3 linked regions of the Tamandua tetradactyla genome follow. The protein of the gene in region 1 interacts with the protein of each later gene in a pairwise test. Links are inferred from orthologs where the notes say so. Each region holds a gene or a part of one and is shown in the gene's direction. Other genes may lie near its edges. The genes, in order: RAP1GDS1, RAC1 and NRAS.

Region 1 (3,752 bases):
TTTACCTGGCGCTTGTAGATATTTGAGTTTGCTGTCCTTCATATTTTTGTTATAGCTTCTAAGTTAATAAAAATTTTATTGGATTCAAAATTGTAATACATTTAAACTTATATTACTTTTTGAAGATTAATTTATTTAAAATTAATTTTGAAAACTAATACAGAAACATAATTAGTCAAGAGCAAAGTTAACTGCCTGTAATACATGGTCATCAATCATACTTAAACCAAATTCTCAATTGATCAGAATGATATAAAAAATCAGAGAGAGAGGGGATGGAATATCTGCCCTTCCATAAACTAATTGTGTAGTGTAACCTTTGGCAAGTTACTTAAACTGTTCAAATCTCCATTTCATATCTAATTTAAAAATTAGTCACAATTTTGTATATGTTCTGATGAAGAATAATATTTTTAAAATCTTTTTATTTTGAAATAATTTCAAACTTATAAGGCAGTTGCAAAAATAATACAAAATTCGTACAGAATACTCCAACATACCTCTCACCCAGATACCCAAATCTACCAGCTTTTAACATTTTGCCACATTTGCTGTTTCATTCTATTTATTTATCTGCCTGTCTCTCCATCTCTTTATCAGTCTGTTAGTTTGTCAGGATGTCTGTTTTTCTATTTTTTAAATATCTGAGACTTGATTTTATACATCATGCTCCTTGACTATTAGTACTTTCACGTACATTTCCTAAGATCAAGGGTATTCATTTATATAACTGCCTTAAGTACAGTTATCAAGCTCAGGGTATTTTATATTGACATAAAGCTTACAGGCTATATTACCTATTTTCTTAAGTCCCAGTAATGTTCTTTTGGGCCTTTTCTCCACCATCATTAGATCCAGTCCAGAATTACTTGTTGCATTTGATTGTCATTGCCCTTTTTCATCACTTCATTCATTTTGAGGCTGCTGAGTAACATTCCATTGTATGTTGTACTGTTTTAAGTCTCTTGTGTTTCCCAGAAAAGCCTTTGCTCTTTTAATCCATTCTTGGGGGTGCAGACCTATTGTGGGTAGGACATTTTAATTAGTCTTTTTCAATTGAGATGTGACCCAGCCCATTCAAGGTGGACCTTAATCCTTCACTGGAGTCCATTTTGTAGATAGCCAGTGAAACCAGAAGCCAGGAGAAAAGTGCTCAGAGACATTTTGGAGAGAAGGACCAGCAGATGTCACTATGTGCCTTCCTATGTGACAGGAACCCCAGATGCCAGCAGCCTTTCTTGAGAAAACGTATGTTGGTGCCCTAATTTGGACAGTTTCATGACCTTAGAAGTGTAAATTTGTAACCTAATACGATTGAAAAAGCCAACCCATTTCTGATATTTTGTGTTCTGACAGCTTTAACAAACTGAAATATATGTGTATACCACATTTTATTTATCCATTCATCTGCTGATGAACATTTGGGTTGCTTCTTCCTTTTGGCTATTGTAAGTAATGCTGTTATGAATATTGGTGTACAAATATTTCTGCCCGAGTACCTGCCTTCAGTTCTTTTGAGTATATGCCTAAAAGTAGGAATTGCTAGGTTATATGGTAGTTCTATGTTTAACTTTTTGAGGAATTGCCAACTGTTTTCTGCAACAGCTGCAGTCTTACAAATTTCCACTGGTAATGTACTAAGGTTCCTATTTCTCTGAATCTTTATCAATTATTTTCTGTTTTATTATTATTTTTCTTATTTTAATGACAGCCATTCTAGTGGATATGATTTAGTATCTCATTGTGGTTTGGTTTGTGTTTCCCTAATGGCTAATGATATTGAATATCTTTTCATGTGCGTATTGGCCCATGGAAAAATGTCTGTTCTTTGGAGAAATGTCTGAGTCTGCTTTTTAATTGGTTTTTGTCTTTTTGTCTAGTGAAGAATCTTAATCAAAACTTTTTGAAAGTTTGAGTATATAACCCCACACATTTATCTTTATTCTATATAAGTCTGTAAAAATTTCAGTAAATTCTCCAGTAAAATTTCCTTTTATCCAAATCACATTAATTGTTTCTTGTCTGGTCTTCCTTCCCTGTCAGGTATGTCCTAGGATCCAGGGCAGAAATTGGAAGCAGGATATCTCTTATCCCTGAATTTCAGTGCTAGGAGCCAAAGAGATATAGATCCTGAAGAAGTAGTGATGGCCACAGCTAAGATACTAAGTCCCAGATCGCTGTATTAATCTGAGGAGCTAAGTAGGTTACTAGAACTAAGAAATAAATACAATGGGGCTGAGAAATGAGGAAAAATGGCATAATAAAGTAAACCAGTAGATCACTGTTCTGGAAGAATTCTGGTAATAGAGTACTGATAGCTGCTTTTTGTGTCTCTGGCTGGTTTGCAGGCACATAATAGATATAAGAAGCTAGAGCATGGCAAATAACTTTCATGTATTTTACTTTTAGACAGTGTTTTTCTCTATTATTGGCTCAATTAGGTTGCCTGTACAGTAGTCAAGTTTGAAAGTATATAGTTTCCAGCATCAAGAGTTACTTTTGTGTATCAAGGTCATTCCAGCAATTCTTGTACAGAAGCTGTTTGTAAAGACAGATTACAGATTTTTATCAATATTGCTCCAGTCTTATACTTGAGTTTAAATTTTTTTGTTAGATACCACTGAATTCTGTTGATTTATTTATATTAATTTTCCAAGTTGACTTATTACATCCTGGGTATTGACCACTATTTGATATGATAGTATCTTAAATCTTTCCATTTTGGGAAACGATTTAGGAGAGAAAATCTCCCTGATATATATTTTTTTAGTCAGTACTGAGATAAAGAATTAATAAAGCCTGGATCTCAGTCCAAACAGTATTTGCTAATAAAAAAGACTGTGTATTAACTTACTAGCAATTTGAGTCATGTCATATCCAAGGACTCTATTTAACAGGTATAAATCAGTGAAATAATTCTTGGACTCTTAAGTGAAAAGGTATTTTTGCATTGTGTGAAATAAAATTTTACAAACTCATATTTTTATCCCTTGTAGTTTAATAATCTACTTATAAAGATCATCTGTCATACTCTTGACCCTTTAATCAAACATGCCAAGTAAGACTACAATGTTTCTGGTTCAAACTAAAATGAAATTTAAATCCATTTAATGATGAATGGAAAGTGACTGCTTAGAAGTTTTTCTCTACTTACAGTGAAATATAGTCATTGTTTTTAGTGGAATGCGTCTTAAAAAAATATTTCTTAATCCTGGCAGTTCACATAATAACATGTAATAAAAGATGCAAGTTCAGGTAACTCAGAAAATAACATAGCATGTCGGATTTATGAAGTTCCCACTATGGAAAATAGTTTGAATATCCTAGAAGAATTTCCTGCTCTAGATGAATTTTTCATCTGATAGTAGAAATAAACAAAAATAGTTTTTATAAGCCCAAGTTTATAAAAACTAGCAACATGAAAAGTACAGAAAAATTAGAGTTCTATGAAATTTTATGGGAATAGTTTCTTAAATAAATTTACAAAATTATTTATAAAGTATAAATTTGGAATTTAGTCTCTTGGCATATAGTAAGGATTGACTAAATTAATCTAAGCCCTTATATTTTGTATGAAATCATAATCTTCTTATCTGAGATAAGGTGGGTAAGTGATGCAAAATGTGAAATTATAATCAACTTGTAGAGTAGAAAAGTATGTATCTAGTGACTAGATAGATAAATGGATAGCTGATGGGTGGGGACAGAGTTATGGTGTGATTACAACCTAGAAAAGCATATAGGAATTACCC
Region 2 (3,752 bases), on another chromosome or scaffold:
GTTTAGATTTGTCGCAAATTCAGCAGAAATCTGTGTAAGCAGTGACAGAAATGGGGATGTTATTCCGCTACTACCCTTGAAATTTCAACTACTCAAGGCTGATCTGTATCGACAACACAAAAAGGTATCCTTTCCCTGGGAACACATTCATGTTGAAATAATTACAAGATAAATACGGTCTTTTTTTTCTTCTTAAATATGTGTGCAGAAAAGATCTGATTTCAGAAGACTGTTACACGGGTGGGCAACAGAGTGAGGTATAGAAAGAGAAGGGCCCACAAGATGAAACATCAGAAATCAACTTCCCAGGAGGGTCCACTCTTAACCAGGGAGCGTAACTGCCTTCCAGTGGGGCAACGCAACAACACGAATCGAGGTTTAAAAACACTCACCCCTACTGATGCACTAACTCCATTTATGGGAACACAATCTAAAGCAACTAAGCTATAGACAAAGATTCTTGCACAAGCAAGTACCTTTCAGCATTGCTTTTTAGAGACAATCCATCTGCCCCACAATACTAGAACTGGTTGAATTCATTACGGTATAACGGAATAGGAAGCCGATGTTAACGAGGTTCTAACAATGACTCAGGGCGATCCTCTCAATTTTGACATGTTCATTATGTATATAAAAAATAATTAATTGGAAACATGTCATCCGCACATTAATGATGTGCCAACATCGTCAACGCAAAGGAACTTTGGTTCAGTTTTCTCCTCAGAACTTGGTACAAATCATAGGAAGTAACAGGCACGCAAAACATTAAACATAAGAGAAAGTGCATACGTGAGAAAAGTTTACATTTTTGGCCAAATGAACCTTGGTGATATCTGCAACTGCGTGTTATATGCATCTTTCTTCTTTCTGGTTTTGGACTCCGAATTTCCTAAAAGAACCTTCTGTCATGTTAACTATCACGTAAAAAGGATAATAAAAAGGGGGGGGTTTGTCAACGCCCTTCAGATGGTCTGGGACAGCTCTCAGAGAAAAGCTGTTCCCGGGAACTCAGGACTTCCTTCGAAGACTAGTCCCCGGGCCAAGACCCGGTCAGCGGCGCAAAGATGGCGGCCAGCCCCGTCCGTCCGCGTTGAGAGCCGAGCGCTCCCGAGCGTTCCCGAGCATTCCCGAGCATCTCCGAGGCCGAGAGGAAGCCCCCGGAGCGGCCCCGCCCGGGAGCCTAGGAGCGGCGGCGCCAGGGCGGGGGAAGGGAGGCCGGATGTGAGTGGAGCGGCCATTTCCTGTTTCTCTGCAGTTTTCCGCCAGCTTTGGGTGGTGGCTGCAGCTGGGCTTTGGCTGCCAGTGCACTGAGGGCCAGGCGGCGTGGACAGCGGTCCCGGCACCCCGCGCCCCGCCGCGCCGCGAGCCTGCCGCGTGCCGCGCCCGCCGCTCCTCACCTCAGCGTCCGGTCGCCGCCGCCGCCGCCGCGGCCCAGCGAGCGGCCCAGATGCAGGCCATCAAGTGTGTGGTGGTGGGAGACGGGTGAGTGCACCGGACCCGGACGGGCCGGGCGGGGGCCGCGCGCGGGGGCGGGCCTGGCGGAGGCCGAGGTCCGGCCGGCACCGCGGACTCGCGTGGGGCCTGCGCCCGGCCTTCTCTGAGGGCCGCGGCGTTCCCACCTTCCGCGGGGCCCGCGGGGCGCCGCGTGCCTAGTTCCGGCTTTTTTTTTTTTTTTAAGTGGGTGTTGGGAATTGAGTGCCGGCCGGAGGGAAAAGGGGACCCCACCCTCCCGCTTTCTTCCCGAGCCCCGCGTCCCGCCAGGGCAGAAGTCACCGAAAGCCTCTCCCCGCCCTCCCCGCGTTTGCACGGTGATTAGGTGGCGTTTGGAATTTGCCTTTTTTTTTTTTTTAAGCGCGCTCCTTTCGTTTGTCTTTTTCGCCTCCCGTGTCCCGGTGGCGGCGGGTAACGCTTGTCAAGTTAACACTGTTGGATCACTGTTTCCGGGGCTGCTTTGGTGACCCTAAACTTGCTCTGATGAGTGGCTTGTTGGCCACTCCTAGAGCTTTAGAGTCACGGTGTTTGCTCTTTCTGGGAGAAACGTTTAAGAGTTTAGCTGTGAAGTAGCTGGATGTGATTACGACTCTTCTCTTCATTGAATATGGGCTAAAAAGGAGGGGAGGGAGTGCGTTAGGGTGTTAGGTATGGGATGTAGCAGAGCAAGCTCCCTGAGCTGGGTTGCCCTGTGTGACTCAAGGCATTTCTTTTCATTGCTGTCCGATGGTCACAGGCCCTCGAGGAAGACAAGACTTGACTTATGCAGTTTTTTCCCTCCCCTCCCGTAGAAACAAAAATCTCAGTGTAATCCTAGCAGAGTTGTGCGTGTCTGCATGGCTTGTGTAGTTTTAGCGTTAACAAGGAAGCTTGAAGAACTACTACCAGTTTCGTCAAACTCAGAATGCAACTGGTACGTTTCCCAGCGTGCAAAGTCGAGGGAATTGTTTTGGCATCGTTCTTCTTTTTGATTAGTGTTCTCCATACTTGTCATTGGTACCAATTTAGCTCTTAGTCTCTAAAGTGATTTGTGATTTCCCAGCTTATTTAGATAATTTTAGGCATTCGAAGTTGTTCCTCTAACTTATTCAGATGCAAGAACAATTAGGCAACTGAATTTTTTTAAGCCGCCCATCTGACTGATTTGTCAGACTCACAAGTGTGAAGAATTCTGAACACTTCATGGTTCTATGCATATAATTAAAAATCGTTTCACTCAGAAATATATTTTTTAACCTTGCAGAAGACAGCTTTACTTTCTGTCATTTAGGGTGGAAAAAAAAGTTCATTTAGTTGGTTTAATAAGGAAAACAAGATTCTTTTACATGAAGTTTTGATTCTTTTGCATCATGAATGAACTCAACAGATATCACTTTGTCTAATAATCATTCTTAGTTATCTGCATTTCCTTTAAAAGTTAAAAAGGCCGAATCGGTAATGTTAGCATATGAAATAATACAGACTAATTTTTTTAAGGAAGCAGTGAATTGCTGATAATTCAGTATTAATAGCCATAGTATGTAATATTCTCAATTTAAAATGTCAGAAACTAAAACATAAGCGCTAGTAGGTATATTTATTTAATACTAACGGGTTATGGATCTAGATAAATGGGTATTGGCTTATTTATTCTAGTCAGATACTTGTTGAAAACTTCGAGAATTGAATCCTCCCATCAAGTCAAGTCCCCACCTCACCATTTACTTGTGGGGTAATCTTGAGCAGGTCATCTCCCAAGAGAGGTGCCTCAAGGGAAAGTTGTGGGAATTAAATAAGAAGCTGGATAGTAAGCACCTTGTCGGTTCCCGCCCCATAGTGACTGCTCAGGAAGTGCCAGCTACCATTATTCTTATTCACTGCTAGGTCGGGGAGGAAGTGTTAGGCAGAGTTACTGACGTTGAATTTTTAATCCTTTATTTGATACTGATTTGACTAGGGCCAAGCAGCATTAGAAGTGAAATGTACCTTTCAAGAAAACCCCCACCAAGCCATAATACTTTAAATTAGAGATAATAAGTGCCAACCATTATTTCAGTGAAAATCTAGATCCATAATTCCCTATCCTAGAAATATTTGTTAGCTTCTAATCACATGTCTGATGATATAGTTGGAATTTTCTTTTTATTAAAAAATTGTGTGGTTTTAAATCTTGGGGGGGCTGAAGAAGTAACGTAATGTGGAATTTCAAGCAATTTAAAGGCAAATTTTAAGTAATAAAAACAAATTGAGAGAAAAAAACAACGAAACAAAGAAATTTTGAA
Region 3 (3,752 bases), on another chromosome or scaffold:
GCTTTACTTCTGAAGACGGTATGAGGGTAGAATACATTACCTATTAAAATTACAAAAATTAAACAATGTATAGGCAAACCATTTCCTTAAGTTAATGGCCAAATGTTAAAATGTTATTTTTCATATCATTTATAATCTTGTCACAGTCCACTTAACGAAGTTTGGTTAGATTTCAGTGAAAATTCTCTTACAGAGTAGGTTTTTTTTCCTTCGTGGGATGGGGGATAACTTTACTACAATTAGTATGTTTGGTGCAGAATTTCATGCAAATGAGGTGTGCCGGCAGTGTGATAATTTAAACGTATTTAAACAAACAAAAAAGGACGAATGCACAAACTTGCTGCTTAGATCACTGCAGCTTCTAGGACCCAGTTTCTTTTACTGATTTAAAAAAAAAATAAAAAAAAAAGTTGTGCCTGAAATGAATCTTGTTTTCTTTATGAGTAGCCCCCTGGTTCCTGTGTCCTGTAAAACACAGGCACTTGAGCCTTGGTGTAGCTTGTTTGACTTTATATCACGGGAATGGATTGGTCTGATTTCTTGGCCCTCATCTTGAATTGGCCTCATTCAGGGTCCCTGGCCAGTGGACAGAAGGCTTTGTCTAAGATGAGAATGGTCAGCTCAGGGGGTGTGGGGGAGGGCACTTCATCTTCCCCGTTGTCGTTTGATCTCTGGGTAGAGGCCGTTTATCTTTGTAACAAAACATTTTGCTTTCTCCAATTTTCTGTTAATGGCGAAAGAATGGAAGCGAATAAAGTTTTACTGATTTTTGAGACAATAGCACCCAGCGCTTTCATTATTGAAGTATCCCGTGTGGGAGGGGCGGGTATGGGTGGGGCGTTCCGCGTGACTCCTAGGTCGGCGGCCCACGTGGCCAGGGCGGGGCCTCGGGCGCCCGGGGCACAGGCTGATTACGTAGCGGGCGGGGCCGGAAGTGCCGCTCCCTGGTGGGGGCTGTTCATGGCGGTTCCGGGGTCTCCAGCATTTTTCCCGGTTGTAGTCCTGAATCTGTGCGAAGCGGAGGCAGCGGAGCTTGAGGTAAGGCTCCAGCGTGTGTAGCCTTCGGCTTTTAAGCGCACGGCCGCCTCTTTGATGCCAGGAGCGGAGCGGAATCTGCGAGCTGGAGACAAAGGCCCTGGGCGGGGGTCCTTCGTTGTAGGCGATCTTTGGAGACAGGCGGGAGGGCGGCCTGTAGGCCTTCCCCCAGAACTGGAAAGTCTTGCGGGAGGGGTGGGAGTGGGGGGTTGCTCCTTTACCTTAGGCTGAGGGCGGGGCCCAAGGACTGCTGAAAAAATAGATGAGGGTGGGGGAAGCCAGAAGAGTAGAATCCAGAACTCTGAAGCCCTGATTAACCTGCAAGTGTTTCTGCGTTCCTGAATCACTTTGAGAACCAAATGAAGAGTCACGTGTGTGAAGCCGACCTATAAATTTCAATCCCAGTTCTAGTAACTATTGATTATAGGAGACTTTGAAGTACTGTAGATGTTCCTCTTCAATTAACCGTAATTGCTGCTTTCTCACAGATTCTTGCGGGTGTGAAATGACTGAGTACAAACTGGTGGTGGTTGGAGCAGGTGGTGTTGGGAAAAGCGCCCTGACAATCCAGCTAATCCAGAACCACTTTGTAGATGAGTATGATCCCACCATAGAGGTGAGGCCCCGTGGTGGTATGTTGACCCTAGCTCTCACTTTCAGTCTTTCCCTTTACCAGCTAAAGGAATAAATATGTACGAAAGAAAGTAAAAGATTTTCTTGAATACTGCATTCAGTAATATAAGTACAATTTTCCATGTTTATAGAGAAGAGTTTTTACAAACTGTTGAAGTGTTCTCAAAAGTTCATAGTTTTTAACAGCTCTAAAAATTGTTGCAAACTCAGTAGTTGACCTCATTCAGTTTCACATATGACATCTCTATCAAATAGAAACAGGCCATAGATAATAGTGTGATGAAAATAAAGGATTCAGAGACCTGGATAGTCCTCAGTTTAAAATTTCTTCTCTAGTTGAAGCAGGCGAGACCATAGGTTGATGTAAAAAGTACATAAGATTTTGAGTCACTATGCCTAGGATTCAAGTCCTGTTTGCTGCTTACTTATGTGATATAGAATAAGTCCTAGTCTTTTTCATTTATTAAATTGCCATAAACATGTCCTGCTTACCACATAAGGGTGTTGTGAAAATCAAGTAAGATTATATGCTTGAATTACTTGTGAGTGGTAAAGCACCTCAAAAATAGTACTTGTTCTAAGGCCCTTTAAATAAGATTTTTAAATTGTATTCGATTTAGAAATTACGAATTCTGGAAATGTTTAGGGTTTTTTTGGGGGGGGGGGGTGGCAGTACCTGATCTGGAAATTGAACCCAGGTCTCCCGTGTGGAAGGTGAGCATTCTACCACTGAACCATTTAGAAATTGTTTTAATCCACAGCTTCAACAACTTGGCCTTCCTACAACCCGCCTACTGAGTGTTTAATCAGTGCACACCAACTCTAACATAGTCACTATTAAAAATTGATTATAATCCTTGACAGAAATCTTTATTTCAGCCTTGACAGCTTCATTATCAATGCTTAGACGCTTTTTAGAAGACTGTGTGTAAACTACACTGTAAGAAATACAAATTTCTTATTGTAATTTACACTCAGTCTGCAGTTCATTGATTTTTTTACATCCTTATACATCCGTGTAATCACCATCCAGATCATTCTCTCATATATCTTTCCAGTTAATAACCTTCCCCATACCACCTGTAAATAACCACTTTTCTGACTTCTCTAAATCCATTTTGCCTGAATCTGTATTTAAGTTGTAATTTTGCTCATTTCCTCAAAACACATAAAATTAACCATCTCTCCTACTTCACGAAAGTTATATTAAAGTGAATTCTATGTTAATTTGAAAGAGTAAATTTAGAGATTGACCGTGAAGTGAGTGACAGAGGAGTTGATCCATGGGTCAGGAAAAAGGTGTTTTCTGTTTCAGAGCAGATCTTTACTAAGAATGATGATATTATTTTCTTTAAACTGAATCCCTAGATTGAACAAAGCCAAGTTGGAATTATTTTTTATATGATCTGTGCATGTCTGTCTTCCTAAGGAATTAATTATAACTGTACCTGTTAGGAACTTTTAAAAACTTGATTATTTCCCAAATGTACAGTCTGTCATGATGAGGAAAAACTTTTTGATCTTGTATCCAAAATTTGTGTATTTAGTTGTAAACACAAATGACACTATGTCCAGGCTTGGTTTATAATTGGAGGTATGTTTAACATTTTAAAAGTAGAATAAACAGCTCAAATAAGAATACTTCGGATTTAAACCTTACTATATGAATTTAATGTCTAATTTCCTAACTCCATTAGAGCTCTTTTGTAAATTACCATGTATTTTCATCTTTTCCAGGAACAGAGTGACCACATTTTCCTTTCTGCAGGCATATAGGATTTGGGGCTTTTTTCCCATGGCGACAAGTGCTTTCTGTTTGCGATTATATATTAGCAGTTTGAGATGCAAACCAGATAGAAATGGACTTGAATAGTTGGAAATCTATTTAACTTTGGCAATAATATTGCATTCCCTGTGGTTTTAATAAAAATTGAATTCCTCTCTCCGCATCACCTGCCTTCCAAACCCTCAGGATTCCTACCGAAAACAGGTGGTAATAGACGGTGAAACCTGCCTGTTGGATATACTGGACACAGCTGGACAAGAGGAGTACAGCGCCATGAGAGACCAATACATGAGGACAG

The links.
Region 2: the proteins of RAP1GDS1 (region 1) and RAC1 interact in binary tests that used the Homo sapiens proteins (3 or more experiments, as listed by UniProt). The link is inferred for Tamandua tetradactyla from reciprocal best matches to the Homo sapiens genes RAP1GDS1 and RAC1.
Region 3: the proteins of RAP1GDS1 (region 1) and NRAS interact in binary tests that used the Homo sapiens proteins (3 or more experiments, as listed by UniProt). The link is inferred for Tamandua tetradactyla from reciprocal best matches to the Homo sapiens genes RAP1GDS1 and NRAS.

Annotation. Positions count from the first base shown.
Region 1 is NC_135350.1:27,504,577-27,508,328, reverse strand, and holds the start of RAP1GDS1 (rap1 GTPase-GDP dissociation stimulator 1), read left to right. Parts: upstream 1-1,016; 5' UTR 1,017-1,184; coding exon 1,185-1,248; intron 1,249-3,752. UniProt on the Homo sapiens protein: Acts as a GEF (guanine nucleotide exchange factor) for the Rho family of small GTP-binding proteins (G proteins) that stimulates the dissociation of GDP to enable subsequent binding of GTP.
Region 2 is NC_135349.1:5,559,742-5,563,493, reverse strand, and holds the start of RAC1 (ras-related C3 botulinum toxin substrate 1), read left to right. Parts: upstream 1-1,226; 5' UTR 1,227-1,447; coding exon 1,448-1,482; intron 1,483-3,752. UniProt on the Homo sapiens protein: Plasma membrane-associated small GTPase which cycles between active GTP-bound and inactive GDP-bound states.
Region 3 is NC_135337.1:6,612,255-6,616,006, forward strand, and holds the start of NRAS (GTPase NRas), read left to right. Parts: upstream 1-911; 5' UTR 912-1,038; intron 1,039-1,523; 5' UTR 1,524-1,540; coding exon 1,541-1,651; intron 1,652-3,640; coding exon 3,641-3,752. UniProt on the Homo sapiens protein: Ras proteins bind GDP/GTP and possess intrinsic GTPase activity.